Saccharomyces cerevisiae S288C: one gene and its partners. The protein of the gene in region 1 interacts with the protein of each later gene in a biochemical or structural test. Each region holds a gene or a part of one and is shown in the gene's direction. Other genes may lie near its edges.

Region 1 (4,996 bases):
AACGCGTCCTCATTTAAAATCAAAAAATTACTTCTTCTCCTCCCTTACGGTGCCCTTTGATCCTTCTCAAACTTTAAATATATGTTGCATGATTAATTGAAAATCATATAGAGTATATCTTAACAGAGGTTCCAACGCTTTAAATCGTATTCTATTCTTTTCCCCCCTTTTATTATAGTTACATCTACTATTTGAGCTTCTTTTATTGACCGAAACTACCTCTTATTTCGAAGCAAAAAAAAAAAAAATCAACAAAAATTCCAACTTTTCAATGATGAATGAAGACATATCCATCATTGATGGCCATAATAGTTTTTTAACGGAAAAAAGCACCGTGCTATTAACCCAAGCCAAGAGAACACTAGAAGACGAAAAGGAAATGATTACTCCCCCGAGCTCAACTGTGAGAAAAACAATGAAGGAAGTAAATAAGAGGCCGTCGCATCCCCTCTCACCGGATCACTCGTCCCCAATTGCTCCATCTAAGGCCAAGCGCCAAAGATCGGACACATGCGCTCGGTCCAATGGTAACCTAACCTTGGAAGAAATTCTTCAATCTTTGGAAAGAAGAAGAATAAATGGTGAACTCGCCAAGAAACCTCCATATTCGTATGCAACTTTGATTTGCTTGGCCATTTTGCAATCTCAGGAGGGAAAGCTAACGCTATCCCAGATATATCATTGGATCCACGTTCACTTCCCTTATTACAAGCAGAAAGATGCTAGTTGGCAAAATTCAATAAGACATAACTTGTCTTTAAATGATGCGTTCATCAAGACTGAAAAGTCCTGCGATGGTAAGGGTCATTTCTGGGAGGTCAGACCGGGTGCCGAAACAAAATTTTTCAAAGGTGAAAATCGTGGTTATGAATTTGTAAAGGACTCCTTACAAGACATTGGGAAGTATTTTGAAATAGATTCTACACTTGATGAATTAGAACAAGTTGAGAGTGGAGAAGGCAATGATGATCTTCCTGACGAGGAAGAAAGAGAGGAAGCAGGGAAATTCCCTTCCATTGAAATTCAATTGAACTCCTCCCCTATACTGAGAGTTTCCCAGTTACATCACATACCGCAATTGAAAACAGACAACAGTGTACTGAACCCTCACGAAAACCTAGAATCGATGCGGAACATGATAGAAAACGATGTCAACAATATAGATTCCTTGGAACCTCCTTATGTCATGAAGAAATATCATACTTCTTTAGGCTTACCGTCGCTGGTGAATGCCAAAGATCATTTCCAGGCGGGTGTGAAAAACAATAATATCACCCAGGCAAATAGATTTAATACACTCCCTATAACTAGCGCAAAGTCTCCTCAGAATTTCAGAAAATATTTCACCTCATTCAATTCAAATTTTGAAGATTTATCTCCACTTCGAAGTAATGTAGGGGCTGGTTCTCTACTCGACCCACTTCCGTATTCCCCATTGAAGCTGTACGATCAGAAAAATCTTGCGCTCATGTCGAAACCACAATCTCAGCAATCATATTCCAATTCTCAACTTCCACCTCCACCTTCCTCTCATGGTTCGGACTTACTTAAAACACCCAAGATGAGGCATTCCGATGGCTTAGAGAAAACCCCATCGCGGTTGATAAGCACACCTAAGGACGGTAACTCGATTTTGAGGAAATGGCAGACTCCTTCACACCTTTTTGAAGATTTGTACTGTTCTCCGCTATTTAGAGCTATAGAGACTCCAATCAGGTATATCACGACGCCGGGGGGCACTTTGGAAACCCAAATTTCACCAAGAAAGTCCTCTGCACCCGATGTCCTCACAAGCGCAACGAATTCCAAATTTGCTTCAAGCGGGCTGTTTGGCGTGGATGTTTATTCTGTTTGGAAGCGCGCAACTGAAAAGATTTCTGATGGTAACAATACTACGGATAGCAATCAAAAACATCATCCTTATCATAATCACCCTTCCAACGATAGCGGTAATGAAAAGAATTGACTTTTTTTTTTTTTTTTTTTCATTTTCTTTTCCTCACCGAAAACTAATTATTCTTAATCTGATGGATTCATCGCAAACGGTTGGATGAGTCCTAAACTGGGCTGGAGTTATCATATCACATAGCATTTTCTTTTTAATCTTATTGTATTGTCGGGTCAACTAACTTCTTTTCCCGCTCTTCTATGGTATAATCAATTGCAGAAGAGGCAGGAAAAAATTGTAATCATAACAAAAATGATACAAATTTTTTTTCTAAGTTTTATATTTTACATATCTTTATTTTTGATCCTTACGGATTTTTAATACAGTATTTAGCTGAAGTTTCCATTCACTTCACTTACCTTTTTGATCTCTTTTATTTTTACTTGCCCCGTTGCCTTGCATTTTTCAATAGAAAGTGAAAAACTAAGTACCACTTGAGCAATGCCACATTAGAAGAAAAACCATCCGCAAGTGAGCATCACAGCTACTAAGAAAAGGCCATTTTTACTACTCATGGACCACCAAATAACCACTGCAAGCGACTTCACGACTACTTCAATACCGAGCCTGTACCAATTGGATACACTTTTGAGATGTCACATTTGTAAAGATTTTCTAAAAGTCCCCGTCTTAACACCTTGTGGCCATACATTTTGTTCCCTTTGTATTAGAACACATTTGAATAACCAACCAAATTGTCCTCTCTGCCTTTTCGAGTTCAGAGAGTCCTTGCTGAGAAGTGAGTTCCTGGTCAGTGAAATAATTCAAAGTTATACATCCCTACGATCTTCCTTACTAGATGCACTAAGGATACCGAAGCCTACCCCTGTCCCTGAGAATGAGGAAGTACCAGGTCCTGAAAATTCTTCATGGATAGAACTCATATCAGAGTCTGAAAGTGACAGTGTAAATGCCGCTGATGATGACTTGCAAATTGTTGCAACAAGTGAAAGAAAACTTGCCAAAAGATCCATGACTGATATATTACCACTGAGTTCCAAACCATCCAAAAGGAATTTTGCAATGTTCAGAAGTGAACGTATCAAGAAAAAATCAAAGCCAAATGAACAAATGGCCCAGTGCCCCATATGTCAACAATTTTATCCTCTTAAAGCCCTTGAAAAAACACATTTGGATGAATGCCTAACTTTACAATCACTAGGCAAAAAACCAAAAATTTCTACCACTTTCCCTACAGAGTCAAATCCACATAACAAAAGTTCATCCAGATTCAAGGTACGAACTCCAGAAGTCGACAAAAGCTCATGTGGTGAGACCTCACATGTGGATAAGTATTTAAACTCAATGATGAGTGCAGAACACCAAAGATTGCCGAAGATCAATTTTACGTCTATGACTCAATCCCAAATAAAACAAAAACTGTCATCGTTGGGACTGTCAACTAATGGTACTAGGCAAAACATGATTAAAAGATACAATCACTACGAAATGCTTTGGAATTCTAATTTTTGTGATTCTCTAGAACCTGTTGATGAAGCTGAACTAAAAAGACAGTTGTTAAGCTGGGATGTTTCACACAATAAAACCCCCCAAAATAGTAGCAACAAGGGTGGAATTTCTAAATTAATGATAATGAAGAGTAATGGGAAATCTTCTTCATATAGGAAATTACTTGAAAATTTCAAAAACGATAAATTTAATAGGAAAGGATGGATGGTTATGTTTCGGAAGGATTTTGCTAGGCTTATCAGGGAAGCAAAAATGAAAATAAAAACAGGTTCATCGGACAGTTCAGGTTCAGTGGGACATTCTAATGATGGAGATGGTGTTGAAAAAGTTCAAAGTGACCAGGGAACCGAGGATCAGCAAATGGAGAAGGATCAGGACACTGTTATCAACGAAGATAGAGTTGCTGGTGAAAGAAATTTGCCTAACGAAGATTCAACTGATGCTGACTTATCAAGAGAATTAATGGACTTGAATGAATATAGTAAAGACCCACCCGGTAACAATTAAGGTGTGTATATGTAATCAGGCCTGTTTGTTAGCTTGTGCACATTTGTTAATTAATAATTTATTTAAAAATGGGCAAAATATAAATGCATAAAAGATGACATAGAGATATGTGCACAAAGCTATGTAATCATATTTAACATTAATATATATTATTTCGTTATTCACAATTCGTCATGAAGGCCAGCGTAGTTTACGGTTCCTGCTACTGCATTATCATCGTTGACAATGTTTGTATTCGAATTATTATTCAAAGGTGCTGCAATTGTTTGCGGAGGGGCCACTGGATTAGGCAAAGAAGTGATCTCCACGTTAAGTGCTGAAATAACTTCACTAGATAGAGAGACGTCTTCGGTAACATCTACCGTACCAGATGCCTGCATTTCCGTCGTAAGCATTCGGGAAACAGGAGTATTTACATTTTCGCTGATTTTGTGGCGTACCCCAAACGCTTCAGATGAATCTTTTGATGACTGTACTTCTATCATTATTTCTTTCTGTACAAATCCTGATGCATCAATTGAACTAGCAGATATTTTGTGAGGGCTACTTACAAAAGATGGTGCTGTTGTGGTTACACCTGGCATCGGCTGAGCTACTGTGCTTGACGCGCTCTCCACGGATAAAGTTCCCTTGCCTATATCAGACAGAGCGCCAATTGAAGCACCACTACTACTAAAGATCATAGATGCCATAGAAGTCCCTTCAATATTTGTGGATTCTGATAGGGAAGATTGACCAACACTCGTCTTAGGTGATTGTACAGCATCAGTGAAAACACTAGTGGGTTCCGAACTGTCAGCCAAAACACTAGTGGGTTCCGAATTGTCAGCCAAAACACTAGTGGGTTCCAAATTGTCAGCCAACACACTGGTGTATTCCGAATTATCAATCAAGGCACTGGAGCGTTCTGAATCCTCGGTAGAGAAAGCAATTACTCTCGAAGTCTTCGTTTCTGTTTTTGAGAATGAGCTAGTTGCCGTCTCCACAATAGCTGATGAAACAGGTTCAGAGATGGAATGAAATTTAGAAAAAGTGGAATCTGAGATTGAAGGGATTGATTCAGAAGCAAGA
Region 2 (3,868 bases), on another chromosome or scaffold:
TTAATATGTTTTTCTGCCGCCAAGCAAAAGAAAAGAACGCAAGGTGATTTACTCTTGGTACTAACATATATGAAATTTTTTGTTAGTTTAAGGAACAAATGGGATTTGGGTCTGTTAACACTCATCAATAAAGAAATCTCCGAATCATTTCAAGGAGAAGGTGAGCCTGAATTAGCATTCATCAACATTTCCAATAATACTCTGGGAGAATATATAGAAGAGATGAACATACGCTCGTAAACTACATAGTAAATTAGTTGCTCTTCTCTTTTGTTCCCGAGTAAATCGAATTATTCTATTAAAGGGAAACACTATGTTTTGAGTCATCCAAACTTTCATTTTTTTCAGATTTCATCGCCCGATCGTCAAGGAATAAAAAGGGAAGGGATGGGATACTTGCATTGGAACCCAGAAAGTACGTAAAAGATGAAGATCGTGAGAGATTGGTCAATGGATAAATAGTTCTGTAATTATGTCTAAGTATCAAATTAATTGCATAAGATACCGGCACTTTCTCAGGACATCTAATATCTCGCAGATCCCTGATTTCACGAAATACTGCATTGGTCCCGTAAATGAAGAATTGGCACCTTACATCATGGAAACCATGAAGGCATACCCTTCAAATTCCGAATATATCAATCCGCAGCATTACTATCATAATAGAACGGTATTAGTAGAAAATTACTTAAAACGAAGTCCAAATCCAGTATCATTAACGCAGTTAGCGCAATATTATGACGATTCTACCAAGCTGACCAGAACCAAGATCATCAATTCCGGGAAATTTGTAAAAGAAGAACTGGTAATTAGGATCGCGCATAAATTAAATCAATTGCAACAACTTCCATTTAATGTTGTGAACAACTTCCATTTTGTTCAAGTTTATGAGTCATATTACAATATTTTTGAAAGCTTTAGAAAATATCCGACTATAAGAACTTTAGAGGACGCTTCTCAATTTGCAGATTTTATCAAAAATATGCTAGAAGGCTTCAATACTCTAAACTTACCACATTTGATAATGGGGGCTTTAGAATGTACAATTTTGGATCTTTATCCTCGTGAAAAAATGGACCAACTACTATCTGATCTGTTAAGAGCTCGAATATCAAGAAGATTGATTGTAGAGGAACACGTCAGTATCACAGCCAACTACACTAGTGGTAAGGAGGAAAATACCTTGGTATTGGGTGATATTTTTCAAGAATGTAGCGCTAAAAAATATTTATTGGAAGCCAGTGAGGAATCTCAAAAATTTATCCAAGATATGTACTTTAAAGACATTCCCATGCCAGAATTTATTATCGAAGGTGACACTCAACTAAGCTTTTACTTTTTGCCTACACATTTGAAGTATTTGTTAGGGGAGATCCTTCGAAATACTTACGAAGCAACCATGAAACACTATATTCGTAAGGGATTAGAAAAGCCGGAACCAATCATAGTAACTGTAGTAAGTAACGATGAATCCTATTTGTTTAGAATTTCAGATAAAGCTGGGGGCGTCCTCCATGATGATGAAAATCTATGGTCATTCGGTAAATCGAAAGAAAGGGCTCAAGAATCCCTAAATAATTTTCACAAGTTACCTGGTTTACAAACAGTATCTATTTATGACGAAGTACATTCCCATACTAAATATAACTCCAAACTGAAGTCATTGCAGTCAATAACATTAAAACCGTACATGCACACGTCGCTAGAACCAATGAGTTATCCTAGCATCATAAATGGGCACATCAAATATGAAACTCCCCTAATTGAATTGTTAAAGCGGTCTTTTAGATACAAGCTTGGGATTGGGTTAGCCATGTGTAAAGTGTATGCTGAATATTGGAACGGCGACCTTTCATTGCATTCAATGCCTGGATATGGTACCGATGTTGTATTAAAATTAGGCAACTTGATGAAGCATACGAAGAAACTACAATTAGATAAAGTGTGAGCTAACCATGCTTACACTATATACCAAGGAACAAATACATATTCGGAATATTAGTATGGTGACTACATTTCCCGGATTAGTGTATGTATATACAAAAAGGCACCTCCGGGTAGCCGGAGTAGAAAGCTGGAAAAATAAAAATGAAAGCGAATGGAATGTGTAAGAGAAAAAAAGGAAAGAACTATCAAGTTGCAGAGTTGATGACATAAATAGTAGAGTGGAAAATCAACGAAGATCGAATTCCAAAGATTATTTTTAGGCAGACAGAGACTAAAAGATAAAGCGTCATGTCCACACCAGCTAGAAGAAGGTTGATGAGAGATTTTAAACGTATGAAGGAAGATGCCCCACCGGGTGTATCTGCTTCACCATTACCTGATAACGTCATGGTATGGAACGCCATGATTATCGGGCCAGCCGATACTCCATATGAAGACGGAACTTTTAGGTTATTGTTGGAGTTTGATGAAGAATATCCCAATAAGCCACCGCATGTCAAATTTTTGAGTGAAATGTTTCATCCCAATGTCTATGCAAATGGTGAAATTTGTTTGGATATTTTGCAGAACAGATGGACTCCAACATATGATGTCGCATCCATATTGACATCCATTCAAAGTTTATTCAACGATCCAAATCCAGCTTCGCCAGCAAACGTTGAAGCTGCAACATTATTCAAAGATCATAAATCACAGTACGTCAAAAGAGTTAAGGAGACGGTAGAGAAATCTTGGGAGGATGATATGGACGATATGGACGATGATGATGATGATGATGACGACGACGACGACGACGAAGCAGACTGAGAAAAATCAAAAGAATCTTAATGATGAATGCCGAGCCGATATTATGAATTCGATTACCTTTTTGTTCAATCAAATATAGGGCTTCATCGTGAGTTTCTTTCTCTATCGATCCGTTTGCTTTCTATTCCTCCATCTTCTACTTTATACCGTAAAGAAAATTTAATAATGATAGAAACATTGCATATAAATAATATACTAAAAAGAAACACTGCTCTACCATAAATTTCTTTGGAGAAAATAACGTGAAATGAGAAATAAGGACAATTTGTTATCGGTTATAACTGCCGATACCCGTATCTTTTGTGTTTGATTCAAGGAATACTTATTTAGAGTAGAAAGAATATATTTACTTAGATAACTTAATGTATAATATATAAAAAAAATCAAAAAAACAGGAAAAAAAAAAATCATGAGTGAGTGGCACTTTTAACTGCAAGAATGAAGAGTGACCCCATTTTTTTTTATTCTGATATTACAGTACTCTTCTGTGCGGGCAGCTCCTTCGTTTTTTGTTTTGCACTTTCATCCAACCACACATATATGGAAACAAAAACGACGAATGAAATTATAGCTTTGCTGAATGGATCTATGCTCTTCCAAGTAAACCTTTTATCATCAAGATGAAACACCTTGACCACGTTTTGCACATCAGCAGGTAGTATATTTGCGTTTTTGTTATTTTGTAGGAGAAACCAATTATATTCGATGAATGGAAGTTTCAAGAATTGGGACCTAACTGACGGAGAAGAGTTTGTCAGGACAAATTGAGTTCGAGGTCCAAGAAAGCCAAATGACTTGTAGTACCACAACTGAATGAAATCTTGCTTTAGATCATTCCAGTTTCCTCGCATTTTCTCATTTATGGCAAAATCCAATAAATCTAAGTCATTACCACTTAACTTAGGAAAATTCTGAAGTAATATATTCGTATCTATCAACTGATTGTTATGTGTCGAAGACGGATTGAAGAATTTGTTCATAATGACACCAAGCTCGCCGTTGTTTAGACGCTCAGTTAATAAATGATCGCGTTTCAAACCACTTGTTTCGTCTTCATCTAGATCTGGTGCACTTGGCTGCAAGACGCTAAATATCTCGGACATGGTCTGTGAGA
Region 3 (4,003 bases), on another chromosome or scaffold:
AAACATTCTCGGCGGTACAGTGTTCAGAGAGCCCATTGTGATTCCTAGAATTCCTAGACTGGTCCCACGTTGGGAAAAACCAATCATTATTGGAAGACACGCCCACGGTGATCAATATAAAGCTACGGACACACTGATCCCAGGCCCAGGATCTTTGGAACTGGTCTACAAGCCATCCGACCCTACGACTGCTCAACCACAAACTTTGAAAGTGTATGACTACAAGGGCAGTGGTGTGGCCATGGCCATGTACAATACTGACGAATCCATCGAAGGGTTTGCTCATTCGTCTTTCAAGCTGGCCATTGACAAAAAGCTAAATCTTTTCTTGTCAACCAAGAACACTATTTTGAAGAAATATGACGGTCGGTTCAAAGACATTTTCCAAGAAGTTTATGAAGCTCAATATAAATCCAAATTCGAACAACTAGGGATCCACTATGAACACCGTTTAATTGATGATATGGTCGCTCAAATGATAAAATCTAAAGGTGGCTTTATCATGGCGCTAAAGAACTATGACGGTGATGTCCAATCTGACATCGTCGCTCAAGGATTTGGCTCCTTAGGTTTGATGACTTCTATCTTAGTTACACCAGACGGTAAAACTTTCGAAAGTGAAGCTGCTCATGGTACCGTGACAAGACATTATAGAAAGTACCAAAAGGGTGAAGAAACTTCTACAAACTCCATTGCATCCATTTTCGCGTGGTCGAGAGGTCTATTGAAGAGAGGTGAATTGGACAATACTCCTGCTTTGTGTAAATTTGCCAATATTTTGGAATCCGCCACTTTGAACACAGTTCAGCAAGACGGTATCATGACGAAGGACTTGGCTTTGGCTTGCGGTAACAACGAAAGATCTGCTTATGTTACCACAGAAGAATTTTTGGATGCCGTTGAAAAAAGACTACAAAAAGAAATCAAGTCGATCGAGTAATCGAATTTACGTAGCCCAATCTACCACTTTTTTTTTTCATTTTTTAAAGTGTTATACTTAGTTATGCTCTAGGATAATGAACTACTTTTTTTTTTTTTTTTTTACTGTTATCATAAATATATATACCTTATTGTTGTTTGCAACCGTCGGTTAATTCCTTATCAAGGTTCCCCAAGTTCGGATCATTACCATCAATTTCCAACATTTTCATGAGTTCTTCTTCTTCATTACCGTGTTTTAGGGGGCTGTTCGCACTTCTAATAGGGCTATCACCAAGCTGTTCTAATTCGTCCAAAAGTTCAGTAACACGATCTTTATGCTTTAGCTCGTCATAATCTTTCAATTCATAAATATTTACAATTTCGTCTACGATATTAAATTGCCTCTTGTAGGTGCCTATCTTTTCCTTATGCTCTTCATTTTCACCGTTTTCTTGAAACCAAACACCGAACTCACTACGCATTTCTTTCATAGGCTCATATAATACTTCTTTTGACGTCATTTGATCAAGTATTTTTGTTATTGCGTCGTCCATCTCCCCATCTTTTAGATCAAATTGATTTTCTGCACTTTCTTTTCCACCAGATGCTACCATTTGATCTAATAATTGTGACAATATATCATCAATATTATTATTTTGGCCACTGCGTTGAGATTCCTTGGTTTCTTCGGCTAGGGATGTATCAACTTTATTACCATTTTCCTTTAACCTGTCTAGCGTATTGGAAACAATGTTTTTAAATCCCGGATTGCTACCATTCACGGTCCCTTTATCAGTGCTGTTACTTTTCAAACTACTACATCCTTGCTCCATCTGTTGATGAGGTACTTTAGCTGCCTCTTCTAGAGCACTAATCAGTTTATTAAAATCTTCTGTCTTCACATTATTCTCGTTACCGTTATTTTTCATCAAATTTGCGAACTCATTTTGCAAATCTACCATCATTTCTTTCAATTCTGGGTCCTCTTCAGATTCATTAGCTACCTGTACGCCATCACTGTCCTTACTTTCGGCATTCTTCTCTTTGTTTTCACTATCGTTGTACACAGAACCCTTCGCTTGCACATCATCGGGCTCTGCTTCATCCAGTTTAGTGGGATCTTCATCTAAAAGGTCATCCAAATCATCAAAATTATCGTACTCGTTTTCATTCATTACTTCGTGTTGTATGTTTGGCATTTCTTCTTTCCGTCAATACTTCGGTTCCCACAATTTGTAATTCTTTCTTCACTTTATATCTCTCAGAAACCGCGTTTAACATCTGGAAATTAAAAATTATTCCTGTCTCCATAACAAACATTTAAAAAAAGAAGAGAAATTTAGCATAGGATAAGCACACACTGGCACCATTTTTTGGAAGCAATATGAGTAGTTTGTGTCTACAGCGTCTTCAGGAAGAAAGGTAAGTAGTAGTTTTCCTCCTTTTATGCTTACATTCTGTAGGCATACACAATTTCATCCAGCGGTATACTAACAAATCGATGAACTTAACTTGTTTTACTTGAATAACAGAAAAAAATGGAGAAAGGATCATCCATTTGGATTTTATGCCAAACCAGTTAAGAAAGCTGATGGGTCCATGGATTTACAGAAATGGGAAGCTGGTATCCCAGGCAAAGAAGGTACAAACTGGGCGGGTGGTGTGTACCCAATTACAGTCGAATATCCAAATGAATATCCTTCAAAACCTCCAAAGGTTAAATTTCCAGCCGGATTTTATCATCCAAACGTGTATCCAAGTGGCACAATATGTTTAAGTATTTTAAATGAAGATCAAGATTGGAGACCCGCCATCACGTTAAAACAAATTGTTCTTGGGGTTCAGGATCTTTTAGACTCTCCAAATCCAAATTCCCCTGCTCAAGAGCCTGCATGGAGATCATTTTCAAGAAATAAGGCGGAATATGACAAGAAAGTTTTGCTTCAAGCTAAACAGTACTCTAAATAGAGGGAATCCATCTTTCCCATTCTTCCTCCTTTTGTACTTTATTTAACTAATGTCGTTGTGTAACAAAAATAGAGCAAAATAACATTATTTACAAATTCTCAAAAATAATTTTTTGCTCTTTGTTTCTTATGCTAAGTAAATAGAAAGATATTTTTTGTACCATTTTCTATAAGTATGGCAACTATATACACTTTAATAAATCTATTGGTTAGTAGAATTTTCATTCATTTTGTAGTGAATGAAACTATCCAACGTAGTAAAGCAATCATGGCATCTTTCTTTTAGTTCGGGATTTTTGTTTTTATCAACCATTTTGAATTGCTGCCTCAAATTTGGTACAACTTGGTCTTTTAGAATAGATAAAAATCCACCCCTTACAAATATTGGTTCATTATAGTCGTAAGAGGCATCCCCGTAAATTTGGAAAAGCGAATTTGTCATTTCTATCAAAATTTCAGGGCGAACATTCAACTGTGTTAAAGTTTGTATGAAGAACTGCCCAATCTCCTTATTTGCATCAATTTGTCCCTGAATCATAGCATATGTGCTTAGTACATTAATACATTTTTGTTGTAACTCAAGGTCATTATTATTTTGGAACTCTTCAATAATTCCCCTAGCGAATCCTGAATTGTTCAGCATTTGGACATTGATCAATGCTCGATTCTCACTTTCAAACGCTCCATCAGGAAAGATGAGTTTCAGAAGCGCCCAAATACAGCCCATTCTTCCTATTTTAATACTCAAATCATCTTGGCTGTCCAACTGTGTAACATAACTCCATAAGGTGGTTAACAACTCTCCAGAGAGCTCTGTTAGAGATAGAGACACAAAGAGCCAGATCAGATTGTTCCATCCGATCAATATTCGCGAGGTGAAGGTATCTTTCAAAATCATGAAAACGTGAGGTAAGAAATTTGTTAAGGTATTGATTAGCTCCTCTGGAATTGCTACTTCCTGTGATTCTGGTGATTCATATTTGGATGCAACTATCTCAATGATTGCGGTGATAAGATCAATTGCTATTTCAATGCTTTGCAATTTTATCATGGATTCGTTACGTTTCGCATTGTAATCCTTGATCTTAGTTATAACCTTACTGCTTTCATCTTTA

What was found. The genes of interacting proteins can lie anywhere in the genome.
Region 2: the proteins of RAD18 (region 1) and RAD6 form a complex in vitro, tested with the Saccharomyces cerevisiae proteins (12 studies listed by BioGRID, with this or other methods).
Region 3: the proteins of RAD18 (region 1) and UBC9 form a complex in vitro, tested with the Saccharomyces cerevisiae proteins (2 studies listed by BioGRID, with this or other methods).

What each region holds. Positions count from the first base shown.
Region 1 is NC_001135.5:229,039-234,034, forward strand, and holds RAD18 (E3 ubiquitin-protein ligase RAD18), read left to right. Parts: upstream 1-2,461; coding exon 2,462-3,925; downstream 3,926-4,996. Other genes in the region: HCM1 (Hcm1p), read left to right, coding at 272-1,966; GTPase-activating protein SED4, read right to left, coding at 4,087-4,996. UniProt on the Saccharomyces cerevisiae protein: E3 RING-finger protein, member of the UBC2/RAD6 epistasis group. Associates to the E2 ubiquitin conjugating enzyme UBC2/RAD6 to form the UBC2-RAD18 ubiquitin ligase complex involved in postreplicative repair (PRR) of damaged DNA.
Region 2 is NC_001139.9:391,751-395,618, forward strand, and holds RAD6 (E2 ubiquitin-conjugating protein RAD6), read left to right. Parts: upstream 1-2,235; coding exon 2,236-2,754; downstream 2,755-3,868. Other genes in the region: YBP2 (Ybp2p), read left to right, coding at 1-240; protein kinase PKP2, read left to right, coding at 473-1,948; GEP7 (Gep7p), read right to left, coding at 3,216-3,868. UniProt on the Saccharomyces cerevisiae protein: E2 ubiquitin-conjugating enzyme that accepts ubiquitin from the ubiquitin-activating enzyme E1 and transfers it to a E3 ubiquitin-protein ligase.
Region 3 is NC_001136.10:335,182-339,184, forward strand, and holds UBC9 (E2 SUMO-conjugating protein UBC9), read left to right. Parts: upstream 1-2,305; coding exon 2,306-2,343; intron 2,344-2,453; coding exon 2,454-2,889; downstream 2,890-4,003. Other genes in the region: isocitrate dehydrogenase (NADP(+)) IDP1, read left to right, coding at 1-940; PEX19 (Pex19p), read right to left, coding at 1,068-2,096; SYO1 (Syo1p), read right to left, coding at 3,091-4,003. UniProt on the Saccharomyces cerevisiae protein: E2 ubiquitin-like--protein ligase mediating SUMO/Smt3 attachment to septins and PCNA. Seems to be involved in degradation of S- (CLB5) and M-phase cyclins (CLB2).